Linked DNA regions of Kluyveromyces lactis. Each later gene encodes a partner of the first gene's protein in a complex. Links are inferred from orthologs where the notes say so. Each region holds a gene or a part of one and is shown in the gene's direction. Other genes may lie near its edges.

Region 1 (3,436 bases):
TCCATCGCCTCTACTACCAGTCATTCAAAAGTTGTAACAACACAGGTTTCAGTCATTACTTTAAATGGTGAGAGTAGGAGTATTGTTGCCGTTACAACTACAAGTACCGTCGTGGCAACCACAGCCGAAGGTACCAACACTGCAAACTCTAAAACGGAGTCAAATAAATCTTCATCATTGTCTAATGGTGCTATCGCTGGTATTGTTGTGGGTGTTGTTTTGGGTGTGTTACTGATCGCAGCAATTATCATTTTCTTCATCTGGCAACAGCGAAAGAAAAGTAAACGGTCAGACTTCGAGGAAAGTAAGCATTACCAACCTTATTCGTTTGGTCAAGAAGAAGACATCGTAGTCCCACCAGTTACCGGAGGTGGATTTGGCGCTGCTGCTACTTTACCAAACTCTCATTCAGCATCATCATCCTCTGATAGATCTGGTGTAAGTCAAAATAGGGAGAAAAGATTGGATAATAATGGAAACGAAATCAGTGATTCGCAAATCGTTAGTCCGTTTGGAGAAACTATGGATCAACCAGACCTAACACAACCTCCTGTACGTCCGACAATGGGAAATCCTAGATTCAGCAATGGTTCTTTACCAGATGTAACTCAACAAAGGCGACCGCTAAGAATCGCCAATCCAGATGAGCTGGATGATGAGGATACAGAATTCAATTCGATCATCGAAAATCTCAGGGGAGATTGATCCTGATACAATATAACATCATCTTTTTAACACATTTCGCTAAGATAATAGCATGATATACCCAATATCATCCCCTTGTTGTTGTCAAACAAAACAAACGCCAAAAGGAAATATTCCAAATATAAAACATCAACTAAGGCCCACAATAAGCCATGTTCCATACTCACTACTGATACTTGATACCCCTAATGAAAACTATCAACTGAGGATCAGTTAATTGTCTAACACTATAAACAAGACAAGTCACAAAATATATCGAAACGATTTATGTTATACTGATAAGTTGGGCTTTCACATATGTACATATATAACGTTATAATACTCATTTAATTTCTTCACATTTTACTTCAAGGTATCTTTATAATGGTTAATTGTCATGTTTACTGTCGGGAATTATTGTGCTACATTTTCATCTAGGGTAATTGTTTAAGGGATCCAAAAAAATGCTTCCAACCAGAGTCGAACTGATGATCTCCACATTACTAGTGTGGCGCCTTACCAACTTGGCCATAGAAGCTGTTTCTTGTCATAAAAAGAATTTACCACTATATACTCCTACGAGATTATTGCCTGCTACCAATTCTTTTCTGGTGGACCTAACCTATTTTGAACTGAGGAATACGCAGTTTATAATGTTACAGCTACATTTTTGAAAAACGTGATGCTAAAATAATAGTAGGTTTACTGAAATAGTTTCGGCTGTTTCAATTTGTCAATCTGCTAGGCGCATCTAAACACTTACATCAGCATTGCATACCCTCTTATCGTCTCCAAGCTCCCTCTGTGTCCTAGCGAATCTCAGCATTTTAAAAGGTTACCCGAATACCTAATTTCGAAAATTTTTTAGAATGAATATGGTTAACTTACAAGAAATTACTGGAGATGATTTGGATATTCAATGAATCTACTGGATATCTACTATTATCGATATTTAATAGCCCTATCTCGAGGTCTCACAATACTAGCACGATGTTTTCGATCAACAAAGTGGTGAATCCCTTTGGATCACTTATACAGAGATCATTTGTACGCCAAATCACGATCCTTGGTGGTTTAAAACCTGGTGAAGGCTCTAAGAAGAACTACAAAAGATTGGGTAGAGGTCCATCCAGTGGCAAAGGTAAGACTGCTGGTAGAGGTCAAAAGGGTCAAAAGGCCCGTGGTTATGTAAAATCATGGTTTGAAGGTGGTCAAACCCCAATCTTCAAATTGTTCCCAAAGCTAGGGTTCACCAACGTAACATCACTAAAATTGAAAGAATTAAACCTTGATAGAATAACGTGGTTCCACCAAAAGGGTCGCCTACATTTGGAGCCAGGTGAAACCTTGACGATGAAAAAGATGAAAGAAATCGGTTTGGTTACCGGCCCGATCAAAGATGGTATTAAGATTCTAGGTGATGGTAAATTCTCTTATAATCTTCCAATCAAGATTGAAGCTACTAGAGCTTCACAGGATGCAATTGAGGCAATCGAACATGCAGGCGGAAGTTTCACTGCTCGTTATTTCAACCGTCTTGGTCTAAGAGCCCATTTATCACCACATTGGTTCCTAGAAAAGTACGGAAGAGTTCCTCTACAAGCTAGACCCACAAAGAGGAAGGATATTGAATATTACTGTAACGAAGAAAAGAGAGGTTATTTGATTATGGAAAATGACCCATACTATCAACTTTTGCAGAAATCCAAAGATGAAGGCGGTAAAAATTTGGTTGCTCGGAAGACCAAGAAGTCCAAGCTTGAGTTGCAATTAGAGCAACTTGAGAACGATTTTGCTCCTGCTTCTCCAAATTCTGAAATTAAATCAAACTGAACATCATATAGCAATATAGAAATGCCCTGTATATAATACACATCATTCAACGCCATTTCTCCAGATTTATACACCATATCAATCAAATTGATATCTGTATTCACAAGTTGTAGCAACTTTTGTCTATTTAATGCTCTAAAGTCTAAAAATATAAGAATGAGCTTGTCTCACTTTTACACATCGTTTTGTGGAGTAGAAGACTCTGTGTTTTTGTTGTCCAACAATCTTTCTTCGAGAACCTGTAGGGCTAACTTTTTCCTTCTTTCTTCCGCTTCAGAGCCTTCAACAGGCTTAGCACCCCTCTTTTGAGCCAAAATGTTAGCTTGTTCGATATCGTATACTCTAAACGGAGTTGCAATACGCCAATCAACAATAAACTTCTGGTAAAGGTAATCAAATATTGGCTCAAGTACTGGTTTGACTAAATCCGGGAAGAAATATATCAATTGGAATGTCTCAGAGGCATCTCCTACCACTTCAAATTCAGCATCCTCAGCCATCGAAGCAGGTAGCCTCTGATAGAATCTCAAGTAGAAATAACAGGTGAAAAAAGTGATCCAAATTGATAATAACTGAGAGAAGTGGTGGAACCACAGAAGTTGCACAAACGAAAGCACAAGTAGAGTAAATATTGGCAGGAGTTTAAATCTGAAATTCTTGGAAATGAAAGGTAGATTCTTAGTCTCGAAAATGGTAGTTTCTGGGAATAACTGTTTGTAGATAATAGGGAACCCCACCAAAATTGTATAATTACCATCCAATGGTAAATCCAACCTTATTGCTGACGAAAACATTGATAAAATTATTGTAATTAGAACGACAATTAAGTTCGTAATGGTACCCAAGATTAGAACAAATTTGGCCAATTCTCTAGGGCTTTGCCAGAACCTTTCAATGAATGAACCACCTATAAGCAAAT
Region 2 (3,183 bases), about 490 kb from region 1:
GCTATAAGTTTACCTTCCTCGTTACCACAGAATACTAATTGTTGATCAATGTTGATATTTGCTGCTTCTTTGTGACCGATAATGACTCTGATAGGATCGTTCATGATGGTTTGGGCGATTTCCTCCACGTTGGATGGTATAGTGGCAGAGAACATTGTTTTACGGAGATGTGGATCAGTACATGAACTCAAGATATCATCAGTTTGTTCCACAAATGTCTTGTCGAATAATTTATCCGCTTCATCAAATATTAAATGTTTCACTTTACCCAAATTCAAGGCTTCTTCCTGAACCACAGTAATCAATCTCAAGGGAGTAGAAATGATAATATCGTACTTGTCCTCACTGATAACTTTATTCTTTAATTTTGAGCTTAATGATTTTGAAAGTAGGGCAACTTGCAGAGGTCTTTTCTTGTCCAAGTATATCTTGTTCGCTAATTTGGAACATTCGATGAAGATCTGGTTCGCAAGTTCTTTTGTTGGGGATATAATTAAACCTTTAAGACCAACTGTGGTTTTATCGTTGATTATCTGTTGCAGTAGTGGGATCAAAAATGCCAACGTTTTACCAGAACCTGTGGGAGCACAAGCGATCATGTCACGTTCATGCAACAAAATCGGTATAGATTCACTTTGAATCGGAGTTGGTTCAGTGAAGTTATTTTCTATGAGGTTGTTTAACAATCTCTTATCGAATTGGAACCTTGTGATCAAGTCTTCAAAAGAACCGATGGGCAAAGGAACACTATTCCCTGAAACATTCCCTTGATAAGATTTACGTAACTTTAACGCATCTTGTTTCGTGATAATTTTCCCGGATAACTCAGTCTCGTCATCAGCATGATCTTCGTCTTCTTCTTGATTATCTTCTTGTACTTCGTCTTCACCTTCACCTTTGGTTGACTCAGACTTTACCTTATTCATGATTTTCTTATTACGGAAAAAATCCAACTCCTTAGTCAATTGTTGTTCATCTCTAGCTGGTGTACTTGAGCTGCCAGCTGTCTTACTCTTCTTTTCATTAGCCATGCTAAAGTCTGCAGACTGTGTTCTATTAGAATCACCATTCTTCCTTATGCTAGCTCCACGAGTCAAGACTCTAAAGATATCCATGTTAATTAGCGGTGCTAGTATTGGCCTGTGAGAAGTTACTTAGTAATGAGAATAAATTCGATAGTAAACCACTGTGAGTGATATAATCAATCTCTTACTACTCTCTCATCTCATCTCATCTCATCTCATCGCCTACATCTAATTGCAGTTTTTTCAATTAAAATTGATCTTACTGAAGCGTTTCTTTTCACAAAACTTAGGGTACAATAAGTGTAAAAATCGATATAAAAGTACTTCTCAAGGCATAAAGATGCAGCAAAGCTTACTTTAAGATACAGCTGGTATTAAGCCCTCATAATACCAGCCCATAATGACCATATTCCCTTGATAACAGTACCTAATGCCTTGATATTGCATGTATTCCCATCATACAAGATAGCACTTAGACACAGCGATGACCTCGTTTGGAGTGATCTGAAAAATTTTGAAAAATTTCAAAATTTGGATCGCTGCCTCGAGTCGAAAAACTACAAAGAAACAGTTTGAATCGTAGTTAAAAGGACTAAACTGTTAGAATTAAGATTCAATAATTCTAATATTTGTGTCCTGTGTAATTACAATCTGTTGATATTCGGTCGAGGAAGATTGAATTGTGAAAATACCAGACAGAAACCATTCAGACAGTATTTTTTTACTTCTGGAATAATGTCCTTAACCAAAATTGGTCTTAACTTAAGCACAAAATTCGGCGTGCGTAATGGTTCTTATCTACACGTTGGGACTAGGGTACGTGGTTTGAAAAGAGACCCAGTTGAGTCTTTGAAGAATCCACACGGTTTGCACTATGATTCTCTTGTCAAGGATGGCCATGTATCTACTGTTAAGCAAGGTTTGAATTTGGAAAAATATGGTATTGACTTGCCAGACGACATCATTACACAATGTTTGACTCACAAGTCGTTTGCCCAAGGTATTAAACCATACAATCAGAAATTGTCTATTATCGGTGGTCATTTTGTGAAATATCAAGCTTGTCTTCATTCCTTGGGTCTACCTGTTTCTGAAAGGCAACTATCACAAAGCGTACAGTCTGAACCTGTTATTAACGGACTAAATTTCGGTATGCTTGGGAAGGGAAGTTCTAAAATGTTAATATCCAAACAGAGTACGGCTGAATTTTTGCAAAGGAGAAACCTAGATAAATTAGTGTTTTGGAACAAACGAGACACTCAAAAAAGTCACAAATATAACGGTGAGTATACCGTGCTACAAACTGTGCTAAATTCTGTGGTCGGCAGTGTCTATCTATTGCACGGTCAAGACAAGGCCACCGAATACGTGTTGCATGAACTATTCAGCGACAATAGTGATTCCCTAACGAAGATATCTGAAAGTTTGTTAGCAAACAGGGATACGACCGAGAAGTTATAATATTATGTCTAATTTTACACGACAGGAAAGAAAGAGAAATGGAATACACAATAGACTTCGACATCAATAAAAAGCACTCGAGTGAATGGTCTCCATCGGAGTTGGGAAAGAGCTTTCAAAACTTGTATATATATATTTCGAAACGGAAGTTTCAATCACAGCTCTTGGTCAATGTGGTGTTTTAATCTACTCTTTCATCCCTGCTCAATTTCAACGTTTTATTATAATGAATTTACCAAAAGCATGAAAAGCATAACCTTTTAACGACACTCCATCGTCACACTTCAATTAAAAATGAACCTCGAAAGAAACGCGCGCACTGTATATATCTCATGTATCTCTAGAAATATAGACGTACATAAATTTACAACTAAATCTATCATTAATTAAATGTTAACATACAAAATAAAAACAGATTAAGAAAAGTACATAATACAATACATGTATATAAATACATATATAACTTCATAGAAGGGATGTTTTTTGCTGGTAATTTACTTGGAAAGCTTAGCATTTAAATACTCAATGTTGGTCTTAAGACTAGCTTCTTCCACAGTCTTTACCAATTCTTTGGTACACTTTGCTACATCAAATGCAATACCAGCTAAACGTTGTTTGAAATGCTTATCTGCGAACTCTTCGTCCCCCTCGTGCGCTACTACAATACCGTCTGGTTTAAGATGACAAAGTATGGTCA
Region 3 (2,862 bases), about 480 kb from region 1:
ACAATATAGCATTGTCTTGTCCGTTCATATGTGCCAAATGGATGCCAAAACAAATGTGTGGTACCAATAATTATACCACTGACTTTGGTGTCTGGATATTTTTCTAGCACTTTCTTTTTAAACTTCAAAGAAAGCAACATGCCAACATTTTTGGTAGTTGTTCTTGGTTCAATGGCACCTGTTGTTTCTTTGTCGTAGTCAATTAACATCTTATCTGTCATATCAAATAGATCTTCTTTCCAAGCAATTAATACTCCGTGGTTTTTGGTAGGATTAAAATGGAATTGACACATGTAACCTAGTTTTGTGAACTCCATTTTCCAGAAAGACTTGTATTGAACCGTGTCAATTTCTTGCAAACACAGTACGTCAACATTGTAATATTTGAATTCATTGAGTAAAACTTGAGATCTTTTAAACCATTTAACAGCATTTCCGCTCGTAGGAAACAGTGTTCTTCTAATCAAAGCTTGGGCAAGACAATTATACGTCATTATACTGATTGGACATACCTCTCTCGTCGATTGGCCTGATGAATCTCGAGGAACAGCTAACATCGGCCTTTTGATAAATCTAAGGTCTGCGGGCAATTTTGGATCTATACCTTGAGCAATAAGAGCCTCTTTTTTTGCTATTTTCGCAGCTTCTCTCTTAGCTCGCATCTCAGCGATATACTCTGGAGTGATCTCATTCAAGGCCTTGCCTTTTTTCTTACTTTTCTTGTCCTTTACTTTATTCTTACCTTCTACCTTCAACTGGTCCATCCCATCAGTAATCGATAGCTTTTTTGCTTGTTCCACAAGCTCTTTTGGAACGTCTTTGACGCCGGTGTCTTGCGTACTACCAGCCATATTGGCTCAAATTATTACTTCTACTTTGCAGTGTATAGTGGCGATATAAACCTTAGAGAGATCTAACCAACCATGGCGTTAAGAGCTTGTTAATATGATATATATATATATTATTCAATCGGGCATAAATATTGGAAAAAAAGAAATGACATATATATATATATATATATACATAACCAAGCAAATGCCCCTCCTAAGACAATTTCAATGCAACTTCATATTCAGGAAGAAATATTCAAACAGCGAGATATAATCTTGAGATCTTTATATGCAATTCCTGGTTCTTTCTCAGTAGGTAGCACTTTCCTGCGACGGTTTGTGAGAAGTGCCCAAATGACATACGCGATGAGCTGCTAGACAATATACATCACATGATATCACTTTATACGTTTTGATGCTATTTGAAAAATCAATGTACGTTGGCTATTAATGGTTTGAATACCCAGTTAATCTCTTCGATAATGATGCACAAGATCTCTTAAAAGAGCGTTTTTTTTTGACATAGTTCTCTATATTGTCAACGAAACTTACGACCGAGGAAATTATACTTCATTACTGGTATTAGCGAACGGTTTCTAAAAGCATAGCTATCATAATAATTTTCAAAGATAGCCATGGTTTTCTACAGAATTACATTACAGAGGTCAGTCATTGGTACTCCACAGAAGACTAGGGCAGTGGTCAAGAGTTTAGGACTCGGAAAAAGAGGATCTGTCGCATATCAACCAGCTACACCATCTATTGCAGGTGCTGTCGCTCAGATAAAGGAGCTTGTGAGCGTTGAGCTTGCCGATAAAGCTTTAAGTAAGGCAGAACAGCGTGAGCTAAGAAAATCAAATCCTGGATTTACTGTCGAAAAGAGAGTATAGAAAGGATCATACCAGACAATATAACAAACAAAGCAATGTACCAGAAACATTTAACAGAGAAGAAACTGGGCTCACAATGAACATCTTCTGTTTTACATAAAGAAAAGGATATTAGGATTTTCATGTATATAGAGATCAAAGAAATATTAATCTTATTCTAATGAGGTATTTGAGAGTATCATATACCAAACGTCTTTATTTAGAAGACACCGGTGACTTCTCTGGTGAGAATATTCCTAGGCTGTTTCACGTATTCGTCGTCACCATCTTCACCATATTCATCATCGTCAAATGCCACCGAGAACGAATCTACAATTCTGAAGATATCATTTTTATTCATAGCTTTTCCATCAAAACTTAGTTCTATACTGTCATTTGCCGAAAAGAATTGATTTTCTTGAGCCAGCAATTGATCAACTCTATTGTACAAATGTTTTGTTTTAGGTCTTTGTGGTAACCTTTGAACACTCATATTCTGGGAGATATATTTGCTCAAAACAGCTGGTAAAGCGTCCAATGTGGTATAACCGAATCTATTGTCATTACAAAGTTTGAATGCTTCAGCTGATTCATGGGTTTCGTTGATCAACTTTGTTATCACGGGAGAAATTTCCATGTCTGATTTACTTGATATTGGAACATCTATCTTGTAAATGATCTTAGAACTTTGCATTGTATGATACTCTAGTTTTACATTGATCTTTGGAGTATCGTAGTTCAAGTTCTTACTTGGTGGCTGTGAAATTCGATTGAATTGCCCAAAAGTATTTGATGTGTCTACATCGGCGATGTTTTGAACTTCTAATATTGGAGGAGACGACGATATGTGCTGTTTGTTTGGAGACTGCCGAGTTCCAGAACCATTCTTAAATTTGAATTTAGTACCCTTCGTCTTACTTGAAGTATCGTTGAATATATGCGTGGTGTTGCGAATGCTAGAACGATTTGATAAACGTCTTCCCTCTGTCATCGTTCACTCTACTATAGTCTCGGAATTTCAAACGGGGTCACCCAGTAGTCCTTTAGAAAGCAACTATATATCCGTGATCTGCTCAACTGTATTGACCAAATGCTTTGCGAAAACTGTAGGACATGTGGATCAACTACCAACCATTGGGAGTGGTATGTATAATGTCTATTGC
Region 4 (3,206 bases), on another chromosome or scaffold:
GTCTCACTAATGTCGACCCCAGTGGAGATCCAATATGTTGCTTTGAGAAATATAAGAATTATTTTGGATGCCTTCCCAAACTTGTTAAGGAAAGAGTTAAGAATATTCTATGTCAAATTTAATGATCCATTGTACGTGAAGATAGAGAAATTAGACATCTTGCTCAGATTAGTGCCCGTGGATAATTTGAAACATTGCCAGATGCTTTTCAACGAATTAAAAGAATATGCAAAGGACTTTGATCATGAATTCGTGACCAAAGCTATCCAATCCATCTCACAATTGGCCATTAAAGTCTCGAACGGAGGTGAAGATACGAATAACAAGTTTTTGAATATGGTCATGGAAGAATTCGTTTCGATTGTCCAGGAGAGAGAAGAGTTTAGGGATATATTGATGAGATGCGTATGCGACATGTTACGTTATGACAGTGACAACAATCTTATCAAGGAAACAAGTAAGAATGAGTTGGGTGCCATAATTTCCTCATGGCAAGATATCGATACCATATTTACATCTGATCTAGGCAGTTGTAACTACATCTGGTTTATCACCAACTATACAAACGAAAATTTGGAAACTAAGCTTGAACCACTGGTAGAAGTTTTCGATGAATTAGGATCCCTAACTCAAATGTCCCTTCTAATGGGTGTAGTGAAATGCCATAATGCAGTCTCAAGTGCTTTCTTACAGAAGATCTTGGAACTTTGTACGACAGACGTCCACGATTTGGACGTTAGAGACATGGCCATGATGTACTGGCGGTGTCTATCGATCGACAACGGTGATCAAATCATCAACCAATTATTTGACAAGCATGAAATTCCTAAATTGCATTCTACCTTGGACCACTTCTCCAAGGAAACATTACAAAGTCTACTTCAAGAGCTCTCCACTCTATCCTCTGTGTATTTCAAACCAATCTCGCAGATGCAACGCCGTCCCAACGAAGTTCACATCATTAAGGATAAGGATATTGATGAATTAAAGGGAATGGCCACGAACGAGATCCTGAAAAACATGAACGATGATGTACTACTTGACATGGGTGATAGCTCTGCCACGAGAAGTACAGGCGTCCTGGACGAACTAAATGATCTTTTCGATATCACTGGTGATATGGGGAAAGTAAACATTTCACAGAAAACCAATAATAACAACAACAACACCTCGAATTCCCATGCAACCGATCTTCTAGACTTAATGTAAACTAGTTTACTCTTTTGAACACCTGTACAAACTATAATTATAATGGGAAACAATGAAGCAGATAAACTTCAATCATGGATGTGCCTTTCTAAAATGTTAATTTATTATGGTGCAGTATCTACTACTATATACAAGTAACCCCAGTGGCATGTCATGTCATGTCATATCATGTCAACTTTATTCCTTTTGTTTCTTGAGAAGATCCTCAAGTCTCTCAATCTTACGTTCCACTATCAAGTCACGTTGACGATCCAGATTAGAATCCTTCTGGTATGATAATATACATTTGCGCATAGCGTCACGAGGTTCGTTACACGCTGGGAAAAGCTTCAATCCATGAATCTTTGAACATTCGACCATGGCCTCCACGTATTCTACACATTGTGCATATGCAAATTTCTTCAAATTCTGACGAGCTTCTTTCTCCTCGGTAGGGTTCAATACCCAAATTGGTAATCTTTGATTATGCTTTCCAACGCCCTCTGACATTTCTAAATGAATAATCTATCTTTGTGGTGCAGTATTCCAGTACTATAAGAACTTCTGACCTATGGTTATGGACACAGCAGCAGCTACAAATGACAATACGCTGGCTGTTCCCCAAAATCGTTTAAATCAGTTGACATTGTTCATTTGCATAATGTTGAGATTTAAAGCTTTTTCATGGATACTTTGAAAAATTTCGAAGGTTTAAAAGATTTAATACCATGAATTACGGTGGGAAATTGGTAAAAGCCAGCCAGTAGCACCGTTATACAAACTGTTTAAGCAGCTCGTTAGGTTCTGTCATACCCGGGTCAATTGAATATCTTTGTTTCATAGAGAAATGTTCGGTGCATTCAGAGCTACACAACCTGCATTAGGTGGATTATTATGGAAAGTCCCATGGCGTATGTCTGGTCCTCAAAAAGCAAGACAAAGAGACCGTTTGAGAAGCGTTGATGATGTTCTTTCAACTCTTAAGTTAGGTCTTCATCTTGAAAGAAACCATATGGCGGTTTCTGAGGGATCTCAGCTGAATCTACGTAAGATTAAACCTCGTGTGAAGAGCTTACGTATTTTAGACAAGGCTCAGTATTTCCCAAAGGAACCGGAGATGTCTGCTACTGATAAGTACAGTGTATTCAACAGGTACTCGAAGGGATATAGAAAGGGTATACATAAAGTTCCCAAATGGACCAAGCTTTCCATCAGAAGAAACCCACGTCATTTCTGATTTGGATGAATCATCATTAAAAACTTCTATTATTACATAGTAAGTAGCCCCTGTACATAGTGAATAAAATCAAGGTATCATAGTTCATCCCAGATGTTGTGAGATGATGATGATGATGATAATGGACGGGCTTCATTCCTTAGATCGAGCAATTGGTCATTATATAGTGCTACGTCAAGGGAATGGAACAACTTCAACTTTAGCACACGTATCTTGTCATCTTTACCGATCGGTTCCTCATCAATCGTGTGGGCAGCATCAGTATCGTCATTGAGTAATTGTTTCTGTGTTTCTACGACCTTTTGAATACCCTCTTGTATCGTATCTCGAAGCTGGTTAATTTCCTGTACCAGTTTATCTATGTCTTGTTGCAATTTCGGTATGTTTAATTCGTCCTCTACGCGTTTCACTTGGCTTGTTTGCTCCTGAAAATTCTTTTTAAGTGCCTGCACTTTAGTTTGCTGTCTTTGCAGCTGTGATTGCAATTGTTTCATGAGCTCATTGTGGTGTGTTTGTTTCTCAGCCATCAATTTCGTGAGCTGTCTCATATTACTCTTGATCTCTTTAATATTAGAGACATCGCTTTCAATGATGAAATTGGACCGGGTTTGCTGTAAAAGCTCTACTGGATCATTGAGCCGTGACATTGGGTGCTGCAATATCCACTGTTGCTCAGTACTGTGCAGTACTGTTTCATATATCACATCTATTTATGATTCAATTCGATGAGATTGTCAATTGTGTTCACTTAAATCAAAACATTGAATCTTTAAAATTGCAT
Region 5 (3,701 bases), on another chromosome or scaffold:
AGATTCACTAACAATAGCACAAAACACAGTTTTGTTATTGATTTAAGTGTCACTTTGTTAAAAAGGTACACCATGAATCATATACAAAATATTCGACAATAAGAAACTAGAACTATGGTATTTAATGTCTGTCGCGTCTGATGCGATAAATCACAAACAGGCACCGCTACTAGTTCCTACATTATCTCAATGTGATACGGTTTATTTAATGTTCTTTCATAATTTTTTTTTCTTTATTGTTACAGGCTATGGAAAATTACATACATTTCGTGAACGTGATATAATTAAGAAACTCATCGTCTAGAGGGGAAAGGAAGAACTAATCTTCTTTCCACCTCAGTCTCCTTGTCTATTTCCTCTTCACCGTCGAATCGTAGCTTACATGTCCCATCTCTTTTGCTTCCGCAAACAATAGCTGGATAGAAAGTCGTTGTTTCTGGATATCTTGCCAAAACTTTTGTATTCGCTGGATAATTCGGAGTCTGGGTTCTTTTCATAGTCACGGGCGGGATCAAGAGGATCTCTTTCGAGTTACATTTGAATATACCACCTGGTTTCCCAAATTCATCGGGTTCTGGATCTTTCACTTCAAACCGGAGTCCGTCCCCAGAAACTTTTGTGCATATGCACTGGATCCATTCGCCAGTCTTTTTAGATTTATATGCAACTTCGGAACCAACCTCAATTGGTTCACTTGGGTTGAATTGACTGGTCCAATGTGATCTACCAACAACACTCGATTCAGGGATATGCGTCGAACTGGATTCCTCCTTTAATATAGGTTCCTCTTCCACTGGATAATTATCTAATATGTATGAAATGTTCTCTACCAAATCTCTGCAGTAATTTCTCATCTTTTCATTTACAGACTGACGAGCCTCTAATTTCTCATGGATATCAGCCAATTGATTCAAATTCATATTCTGGAAATTCATATTCTTCGGATCTAAAGACTCAAACCCCGCAATATCTCCTATTTTATATAGATCTTGTAATTGAGTCACGGCAAGACCCCATCTATCTTCCGTTGCCATTTTCGCTAGAATCACTGATATATTTTGTTTTATTTTTTTTTTATCTATGGGCTGTCGGTTCTTAGTATTCCTATTTCAATTAGATAATATGGGCTTCACCAGCACGATAATTAATTTGGGAAACTTCTATAAATGGACGTCCTGTTTATTCAAACGTAAATCTGAAAGGTGAAGACTTCTTTTCGATGCAAGCAGTGTCGGTTTCTTGATGTTTTGTACTTAGAGAAATATGAGTTTTTCGTGCTGGAAGAGAACATCAAAACGTATATAGTGATGGTAGATCTTTAATTGGAACCTCAGTTTCGAATAACTTTGACGTGAATTAGACGTTTACTCCTTCTCAAGCATGAAAAATTCACTATGGTATCGAAAGAACTCTCAGCAATAGATGAAATTGGTAAAATGTATAAATCAATACTTTCAACTCTTAAACAGTCAGTTACACGAACCTTCGAAGGGCTATATCTTGTTGGATTTCGTTGTTACCCTACCTTACAATCCGCCATACTGTGGAAAATTTTTGTCACTAAAATCCTATCTTAAATACATTAAGTACAGATACACGCAGAAATACAGTTACTGTGACATTGCTTGATACTGTTCGGACCAGGCCTACGAAACAACGCATAATGTTCTCATCTTCGTGGCAACAAGTTCCCAAGTTTGTGGTGCAGCAGGTGCGTACTGCAACCAAGCGTGCAGCAGGTTCTCGTACCAGTATGAAGGACTCTGCTGGTCGTAGATTGGGTCCAAAAAAATACGAGGGTCAAGCCACTCAAGTTGGTGAGATCATCATGAGACAACGTGGTACCAAGTTTTATCCTGGTGAAAATGTAGGCATCGGTAAAGATCATACGCTTTTCGCTTTGGAGCCGGGTTATGTGAGATACTATTTGGATCCATTTCATCCAGGTAAGAAATTCATTGGTGTATCATTATACAAGGATGTAAAGCTTCCTTTGCCGCATTTCGAACCACGTTTGAGAAGATTCGGCAAGGCCATCATTGAGGATGAAGAGAAAGCCATTGCAGAAGAGAACGCTTTACCAAGAAAGATTTATTTGCTGAAGGATGAATTGATCAAGAAACAGCAAGAACGTGAGATTAAACGTGAAGAGTTGAAGGCAGAATACAGCAAGATAATTTCAGATCTGAAAGTTGAGCTGGATCAACAAGAACTTGCGTTTGCATTACCATATTTGCTCAGATGGAGAACTTGTTTGAAGAATGGGTTCAATGAATCCGATGCCCGATTTAATTCGTACTACTATTTGGAACAAGAACTTAAATTGAAGATGAGAAACCAAGAAAAATCTAAGTTGGACGACAAACTAACATTGTTGAAACAGGTCTCGACCAAATTGAATGAATCATTGTCATTTAACAACAAGCTTGAATTAACTAAATACATTTCTCCAGAAGAAAAGAATACTCTAAAGACACAACTAATTACTGATTTGAAGGCAATTGATATTAAGGACAAGAACAGTAAGAAGCAAGTACTAGCCAAGTTTACTGATGCAAAGAACTTCTTGACGTTATCTGAAGAGGTGAGACTACGCAGAAAATTCTTGAAGCCAGTGAAACCAGAAACAGAATTGAAGAAATTGGAAGAACCACTCAAACCTTCCAAGAAAAATCTAACCACCAGACGTTACAACTACGAACAAAACACGATAGATGTCATTACAAGACCAAAGACCGATTTCTTGAGCAAATTGTAAATCTTCCCCAAGTCGTTACGTAACAAACCATTTAGAGCCTTGTACATATTAACAAAAGAACCACAACAATCATCATAGTTTAAACTGAAAAAAACGAAAGTTTTTTAGAGACTATATATCATTTGGAAAGGTTAATTCCATATTATATCGTTAACGTATTTAATTTGTCTATATGTGTGAGACAAAATCCAAAACATACTCTTACATTACTATTTTTTTGATATTGGATTGTTTTGAGGTACAAAACTATGGCAGGTGAGCCCTTTGGATCAACCAGGAGGCAATTGAGAGATATCAACGATGTCATTCATCTTGCTTTGAGCATCATCTTCATCACCGACAGATAAATGGGTTCTTGGTAGAGCCATCATACCTGATCTTGCCACTTCCAAGATACCGAAAGGTTCCACAAGTTTCAAGAATGCAGAGATACGGGATGGTTTAGCACATAATTCCACAATACAACTTTGTTCAGCGATATCAACAATCTTACCACCAAAGTTACCAGTCAAGTTAGAGATGTCGTTTAAATGTTCATGCTTCAATCTCAATACTTGGGACAGTGGAAGGTTGGAAGGATGGAATTGCTGTTGTCTTATTCTTTCAACGGTATCAGTATTTTCATCTTGTTCATGGTGATGAATCAAATCCTCGAAGTATTCAGCACCCAACAAAGAGATTCTTGTCATCAACAATTCTCTTTCTATGATGGTGGAATGAGAGTAATCCAACACGACAAATACTGGTACCAAATCTTCGATTTGTCTTCTGGCTTGTTCGATGACACCGTCTTGACCTTGCAACACAATGGTCATACGGGATAAATCTTTCACTTCAGTGTTACAGACCACAAGGGAATCGATATTGAAGCCTCTTGCAGCTAGAGTACCTGAGACTAACGATAGAACACCTGGCTCGTTTTGAACCAAACAGTTCAAAACAT
Region 6 (3,168 bases), about 140 kb from region 1:
ACATCCTTTCCCTTGAATATACGCCTGCCAATCATATATGAAATTTCTATCATTGAAGGATTCGTATTGAATAAAGTTGTTCAAACAGGATCTCATCTCCCATATTCCGACCTGATCCATGGATGCGACGAATACCGTGCATGGAGCAAACTTTAAGGACTTACTCATTTTATTGTAAAATTCTCTAGAAGGTTTCCAATATTTCACATCCTTGTCTTCCTCTATATTTCTATGCTGCCTGATATGATTTTTTCGGTCCATTGAGATAACCTTACCTGGTGCTACTGTACAGGGTCCGAAAACAAATGCAATGGATTGTGATGGGTTTAGACATTGTGCTAGAAAAATAGCGAGTGCAGTGTTTCTTCTACATCTTTTTTTTGACCTAGTCCGTTGACATAGAAGTTCCGCGAGTTTAGCACCGAAAGATATTTGGTCCGTCCAAATCTTCCTCACTAAAAGCCCATACTTTGCAATGAACCATTCTGTGTCAAGCTTCTTAAGATGGCTGATACAACTACTAGATTCTGCATCTACGGTAATGTGTGACCCGTCAGTATGAATAGTGACAGACCCATCTTCAATCGTGATCAGGGCCAATGACTGGACAGAACCAAATTGTAACATCTTCAACGCGTCTAGATTTTCCTCAAATTCACAATTAAGATCGATGATTATGGCGAACTTGGAATGCGTAGGCACAGCAGCAGTTCCTAAATGTTTTAGGTATGACGATGATAATGGAATATTCCCTAGTTCATTATAAGCATTACAAAAAGAACAAAACCACCCAGCTCGTGAATCTCTTGAACATAAAAAATTCGCAAACCCTCCACAGATTTTACAATTGGTATAATTCTCACTGCTTGCTAGGCTTGAATTCCCGTCAATTGTCAAGTCCGGCTCACAAATGGCACTTATCGATCCACGGTTATCATCTCCACAATCGAGAACTCTAGCTAAGCAATCTGTCCGGGACGTAGGAACGGCTCCATAATTCAATTCAAACATCAAGTTCTAGATGGTGGAATATGCGGACACTTGACGGATGAAGGTGATAACTCTACTGTGCGTGTCTGCTGATAGGAAAACCTTTCTCTGGAGATGAGATCCAAGATAAGATAGAGCAGGTAGCGGAGAATTCAATATCATCACAAGATCCGGGTAATGTATATATTAGGTTCATTCTCTTTAATTTTCAGTGTTTCTACGAAGTTGTTTATGGCATCTGAAAAAGCTGAAAAATTTTGAAAAAGAGAAAGCTGATAGTTAGTTTAGCTTGATTACAGAAGAGATCACCACATTTGTGCACACATTGTATTTAAATAACTCTTCAGAAGTCCATCAATAGCACTGGAGATAGAAGAGAACTCTGAGGATCAAGGCTTTTGTTGTTAACAAATAAGGCTTGAAGACACCATAGGGCACTAGGAAGAGATGAGCAAGCATTTAGCTATTACCAAGTTCCGTCCAGCCAACTGGCTACAGAAAGCAGGGTATGCACCACAAGTCTTTTTATTCAGAAACCTAGAGAGTGGACAAGTGCTGTACTCTCAATTCCCGACTTTTTCTTGGAAGCAAATTGATACCAATTTCCAAAGACCCAACTGGGAGAATAAGAAACCAAGCACCAGACGTGATATTTGGAAATGTATGGCTGTTGTTGATCTACCAGACTACGACAAGAGTGTAAAAGTATACCAGAATTTGTGCAGATTAAGATATCTCCGTGATGTGACATTCAGTAAACAGGCAAAAGACATGAGAAAGAAGAATGAGTCCGGCCACACATGGTACTCATCGCAATACAGACCAACATACTCTCAAGAAGCGGTTGCCGATTTGCGAGAATGTCTCCTAAAGTTGAAAGACGTCCAATCGTCCATTAAGGTCCATTGGGAAGACGAATGGAGAATGGGGGATAAAGAGAAATACTGGAACCCAGTATTGCCAGAGTTGAATCACACAACACTAGAACGTTTGGGGAACGTTTCCAGAGAGGAAAGTGCAATTTTGAAAGAACTAGGCGAAAGAGCCAAAGAAGAGTTCGCAAGAGTGAGACAACAGGAGTCAGCTGCTCAAAACATCTCTCTATGAGTTACAAAAGAAAACAAGCAAATACAAACTATTTCCAGTTGCAAAAGCTGAGCCGAGCTCAGATCTTTCACTGCTTCACTCGTCACGTCTTTAAGAAATCACTACATGTACATATATAACCCGCAGACAATCCGACTCTGTAAATAATATAAACAAACCCTCAGCTCACTACCGGCGTTTAACTGATTTGACAAGGTGATTACTAGCAGTTTTCTCCCTTGTTTCCATCATCACGTAACCTAAATATCAAAGGTTCTGTAATCATCATATTACTTCCTCTACTTTTCTACCGCTTCATACCATATGTGTCTCATGCATGCATTAACGCCTAACGGAAGAAGAAGCAGGAACCCGGACACCAAAGAAAAAGCAAAAAAAATGTCACATGACCAAATTTGAGAAACCTTAACACCGTTTCTCTGGTTTTCTCTGGTGTTTCTTTAACGACAATCCTGTTTTCCCTTAGAGGCTTCGGGTTTTTCTTAGTTTTTCTAGCATAACATGGTGTCGAGAATACAGAATTGCGTTATAAATGTATTGCGTTATAAGATCAGTGGTTGTATTTATACGAAGCGTATAGGCTAATGTTGGCATACCAAGCGAAGAAGGCTGCAATAATATTGAAAGGGTAAGGCTTGAGATTAGGTAAAAAGTTATTCTGGAGTTACTGTTTCTTTTTTTTTGATCATACTGAAGAGAGACAGCAACTATATAAAATACGAAGCAAGATACGAAATCAGATACACAAACTGATATTTGCAGTGTCATACAAAACTTATAAGTCCATTTATACTTGAGAGGAGCTGTTTTCTGTCGGATACAGTTCGAGGATAAGGAGATACAATATTTTGCGTGTGCTGTATCGGTTTTATAACTATGGCAAATATTGTTGAAAGTGCAGTGCAGCACTTGTATTTGCAGGTGAAAGATGCTATGGATGTGTCGTTTATGAATTCTAAAGCTCCACCTGCTTCTGTGATAACGAAGAAACAGGATATTTTGCCTTGGATTTCTGATGGGAAACTTGCCTTAGCACTACCTGTTGTTGCTTATTGGCTTTATTCGATGTTT
Region 7 (2,905 bases), on another chromosome or scaffold:
GGAGCATACCAACGATGAAAGAAATATGCTAAGTATAGTATCCCATCCTTTCATAATTAGAATGTGGGGAACTTTCCAGGACTCACAGCAATTGTTTATGATCATGGATTACATCGAAGGTGGTGAACTATTCTCTCTTTTAAGGAAGTCTCAAAGGTTCCCAAACCCGGTCGCGAAGTTTTATGCAGCAGAAGTTTGTCTTGCGTTGGAATACCTACATTCTAAAGGCATCATTTACAGAGATTTGAAACCAGAAAATATCCTTTTAGATAAGAACGGACATATCAAGTTAACTGATTTCGGGTTCGCTAAATATGTTCCTGATGTCACTTACACTCTCTGTGGAACACCGGACTATATCGCACCTGAAGTGGTAAGCACAAAACCTTACAACAAATCTGTGGATTGGTGGAGTTTTGGTGTTTTAATCTACGAAATGTTAGCAGGATATACACCTTTCTACGATTCAAACACAATTAAGACCTATGAGAATATTCTAAATGCTCCAGTAAGATTCCCACCATTTTTCCATTCTGATGCTCAAGATCTAATATCGAAACTCATCACAAGAGACTTAAGTCAACGGCTAGGTAATTTACAAAATGGAAGTGAGGACGTAAAGAATCATCCGTGGTTCAGCGAGGTTGTGTGGGAAAAACTACTCTGCAAAAACATTGAAACTCCATATGAACCTCCTATTCAGGCCGGACAAGGCGATACCTCTCAATACGATAGGTATCCAGAGGAAGAGGTTAATTATGGCATTCAAGGCGAAGATCCGTACCATAGTATTTTCACCAACTTTTAGCAGGCATACTTGCTCATGAAATTCAGATATCAACATGCCTCTTATCTTGCATCTACACAATATGTAAACTTTAACACGCCTTTCCCCCCGTTAGTCCCTTTTCTTTTTTTTTTTGTTTTGATATATCGGCTCATTGCCTTCAGAAACGCTGCCGTTATTTGATACATTCCTTTGAATGACCATCGTACAATACTAGATGGATTGATGTACGCACTTCCAATTCAAAATTCGTTTCATTCGTTTTGCTGTACTCTCCAATGGATGCTCGATGCAATAATCTTATTTTTGGAGTATTTATCTATCTATAATCAATGGCATTTACATATTTTGAATGCATGTATAAGACTTCATCACAAGTCCTTCCCTCACGATCCATGCTACATAAATTGTAAACTGGGGTAAGTCATGGCACATTCATTTATGTTTTGGACGTAACTTGCTTCTGTCGAATGATTTCACGTGACCAATGAATTTTTTTCCAAACTATTGAAAATTCAAAAAGTTCAGTGGACATGTCCAGTTGAAATGAGAATGATTTTACGAAATAGATGATTGAAGTGATATTGCTGAAAGTGAAGGGTCCTGGTTGCTCTACTTTATCGTCAAGGTTTATTTTACCGATTGGATACTTATACTCATTGTCACTCTAGAGAAGATCATTAATAAATAATGTCAGGAATCGTTAAACAACAAAAATTTTTGAACAAGATCAGTGCGACTACCGTGAAACCTCAAATTATATTAGATGTATCGAAGTACAGTGCATTGAATGTGAAGTTCCAGTATCAGAATTTCAATGGCCATATGGGTGCCCGTAAGTTCTGGCACGAGTTTTTGCCTTCTCTGCAGTTTTACAACCCTGCGTTGCCAATCAATGTGACCAGAATTAGAAACGATGATAAAAAAGTCGATGTACCATGCATACTAGAAGCTATTGGATCCGATGGGAAGGTTGTAGCTGAAGTTTCAATGAAGCACAAACACTCATCTGAAATTATGGATGAAGTGCTACAGAAATTGGAACACAAAAGAGTACCCCAGGAAGAAATAATAAAGGTATGAGCTCCGACCTTTGACAAAGAAAAACAAACAAACTGGAATACCTAAATATACTACTTTCAAAGTTAGGTCCTGTACATATGTATATAATAAGATACTTTTCATCCGATTTGATGTCTTATTCAAATGACATATCCTTTTGAGATGAGTTGACTCTCTGCCCAAGGATCGTCAAGACATTCAAGAACACGCGAGAAGAAGATTTAAAACGCCAGTATATGGTTACCAGGTGGTTATTTAACTTGAATTTCAGAACGCCTCTTACATCTAATTGTCATTAAGACATCTTACATTAACAGCGACTTCTTCATCTGCGGAAATGGTTTTCTGCGTATTGTTCAGTTGAAATTTTTCAATCTCGAAAATGATAAATCGCTTCAGATCTCATCATCTCATCTCATCTCATCGGTTGACCACAGAAATTATCAACACCCCAAAGAGGCATATAGTAGGGGCATTATTCACAGGTGAAGACTCTCAACCCAACAACACGAATGTCTAATACAGACTCCAGTGATACAGATGATATTCTAACATTTGTACTGGAATCCAAGGGGTTTTTCCACACTGCCGGCTGTGAGATTAGAAGATCTGATTATGGTGGTTTAGGAGTGTTTGCATTAAAGGATTTGAAGGAGGACACTGTACTCCTTAGGATTCCGAAATCTTCTGTTTTCACTGCAGAAAATAGTAGCATTGCCAATCTACTGGTTGATAGCGAGGTAAAAGGCATGTTGGCATTAAACATTGCATATATTTATGAAGTATTCATATTTCAAGTTGAAAGCCATTGGTACAAATATTTGAAGAGCATTTCACACAGACAAAATGGGAGTCTATATCTTCCACCGGCATACTGGGAAGATAATGAGAAAATTTTGCTGAAGAATACTGCATTGGATGTTGTATTCGAGGCGTTGTCTCCACAAGAAGAGATAGAAAATGGTTTCAAAGTTGGTATTGCATTATCCCGTAAGTGGAACGAAGAATTTGGGCTGAAAATACCGTATTTGTTCGACTTCAATTTAGAAGATCAGA

Evidence for each region.
Region 2: MRPL10 (region 1) and MRPL15 share a complex: the UniProt entries of both Saccharomyces cerevisiae proteins name them as parts of the mitochondrial large ribosomal subunit. The link is inferred for Kluyveromyces lactis from reciprocal best matches to the Saccharomyces cerevisiae genes MRPL10 and MRPL15.
Region 3: MRPL10 (region 1) and MRPL33 share a complex: the UniProt entries of both Saccharomyces cerevisiae proteins name them as parts of the mitochondrial large ribosomal subunit. The link is inferred for Kluyveromyces lactis from reciprocal best matches to the Saccharomyces cerevisiae genes MRPL10 and MRPL33.
Region 4: MRPL10 (region 1) and MRPL31 share a complex: the UniProt entries of both Saccharomyces cerevisiae proteins name them as parts of the mitochondrial large ribosomal subunit. The link is inferred for Kluyveromyces lactis from reciprocal best matches to the Saccharomyces cerevisiae genes MRPL10 and MRPL31.
Region 5: MRPL10 (region 1) and MRP7 share a complex: the UniProt entries of both Saccharomyces cerevisiae proteins name them as parts of the mitochondrial large ribosomal subunit. The link is inferred for Kluyveromyces lactis from reciprocal best matches to the Saccharomyces cerevisiae genes MRPL10 and MRP7.
Region 6: MRPL10 (region 1) and MHR1 share a complex: the UniProt entries of both Saccharomyces cerevisiae proteins name them as parts of the mitochondrial large ribosomal subunit. The link is inferred for Kluyveromyces lactis from reciprocal best matches to the Saccharomyces cerevisiae genes MRPL10 and MHR1.
Region 7: MRPL10 (region 1) and MRP49 share a complex: the UniProt entries of both Saccharomyces cerevisiae proteins name them as parts of the mitochondrial large ribosomal subunit. The link is inferred for Kluyveromyces lactis from reciprocal best matches to the Saccharomyces cerevisiae genes MRPL10 and MRP49.

Annotation. Positions count from the first base shown.
Region 1 is NC_006039.1:1,033,026-1,036,461, reverse strand, and holds MRPL10 (mitochondrial 54S ribosomal protein uL15m), read left to right. Parts: upstream 1-1,587; coding exon 1,588-2,517; downstream 2,518-3,436. Other genes in the region: WSC2 (Wsc2p), read left to right, coding at 1-705; KLLA0_C12111g (uncharacterized protein), read right to left, coding at 2,691-3,436. UniProt on the Saccharomyces cerevisiae protein: Component of the mitochondrial ribosome (mitoribosome), a dedicated translation machinery responsible for the synthesis of mitochondrial genome-encoded proteins, including at least some of the essential transmembrane subunits of the mitochondrial respiratory chain.
Region 2 is NC_006039.1:1,527,873-1,531,055, reverse strand, and holds MRPL15 (mitochondrial 54S ribosomal protein mL57), read left to right. Parts: upstream 1-1,760; coding exon 1,761-2,486; downstream 2,487-3,183. Other genes in the region: RNA-dependent ATPase ROK1, read right to left, coding at 1-1,115; KLLA0_C17380g (uncharacterized protein), read right to left, coding at 2,981-3,183. UniProt on the Saccharomyces cerevisiae protein: Component of the mitochondrial ribosome (mitoribosome), a dedicated translation machinery responsible for the synthesis of mitochondrial genome-encoded proteins, including at least some of the essential transmembrane subunits of the mitochondrial respiratory chain.
Region 3 is NC_006039.1:553,193-556,054, forward strand, and holds MRPL33 (mitochondrial 54S ribosomal protein uL30m), read left to right. Parts: upstream 1-1,465; coding exon 1,466-1,720; downstream 1,721-2,862. Other genes in the region: NGL2 (RNA exonuclease), read right to left, coding at 1-851; KLLA0_C06292g (uncharacterized protein), read right to left, coding at 1,920-2,690. UniProt on the Saccharomyces cerevisiae protein: Component of the mitochondrial ribosome (mitoribosome), a dedicated translation machinery responsible for the synthesis of mitochondrial genome-encoded proteins, including at least some of the essential transmembrane subunits of the mitochondrial respiratory chain.
Region 4 is NC_006041.1:1,082,029-1,085,234, reverse strand, and holds MRPL31 (mitochondrial 54S ribosomal protein mL60), read left to right. Parts: upstream 1-2,035; coding exon 2,036-2,425; downstream 2,426-3,206. Other genes in the region: APL2 (Apl2p), read left to right, coding at 1-1,209; CMC1 (Cmc1p), read right to left, coding at 1,387-1,698; kinetochore-associated Ndc80 complex subunit SPC24, read right to left, coding at 2,503-3,072. UniProt on the Saccharomyces cerevisiae protein: Component of the mitochondrial ribosome (mitoribosome), a dedicated translation machinery responsible for the synthesis of mitochondrial genome-encoded proteins, including at least some of the essential transmembrane subunits of the mitochondrial respiratory chain.
Region 5 is NC_006042.1:1,139,568-1,143,268, reverse strand, and holds MRP7 (mitochondrial 54S ribosomal protein bL27m), read left to right. Parts: upstream 1-1,663; coding exon 1,664-2,758; downstream 2,759-3,701. Other genes in the region: SGF29 (Sgf29p), read right to left, coding at 294-1,034; ILV6 (acetolactate synthase regulatory subunit), read right to left, coding at 3,028-3,701. UniProt on the Saccharomyces cerevisiae protein: Component of the mitochondrial ribosome (mitoribosome), a dedicated translation machinery responsible for the synthesis of mitochondrial genome-encoded proteins, including at least some of the essential transmembrane subunits of the mitochondrial respiratory chain.
Region 6 is NC_006039.1:892,865-896,032, reverse strand, and holds MHR1 (mitochondrial 54S ribosomal protein mL67), read left to right. Parts: upstream 1-1,437; coding exon 1,438-2,097; downstream 2,098-3,168. Other genes in the region: GTPase-activating protein NEL1, read right to left, coding at 1-1,011; SUR2 (sphingosine hydroxylase), read left to right, coding at 2,974-3,168. UniProt on the Saccharomyces cerevisiae protein: Component of the mitochondrial ribosome (mitoribosome), a dedicated translation machinery responsible for the synthesis of mitochondrial genome-encoded proteins, including at least some of the essential transmembrane subunits of the mitochondrial respiratory chain.
Region 7 is NC_006038.1:622,509-625,413, reverse strand, and holds MRP49 (mitochondrial 54S ribosomal protein mL61), read left to right. Parts: upstream 1-1,477; coding exon 1,478-1,870; downstream 1,871-2,905. Other genes in the region: KLLA0_B07205g (cAMP-dependent protein kinase), read left to right, coding at 1-808; RKM3 (protein-lysine N-methyltransferase), read left to right, coding at 2,362-2,905. UniProt on the Saccharomyces cerevisiae protein: Component of the mitochondrial ribosome (mitoribosome), a dedicated translation machinery responsible for the synthesis of mitochondrial genome-encoded proteins, including at least some of the essential transmembrane subunits of the mitochondrial respiratory chain.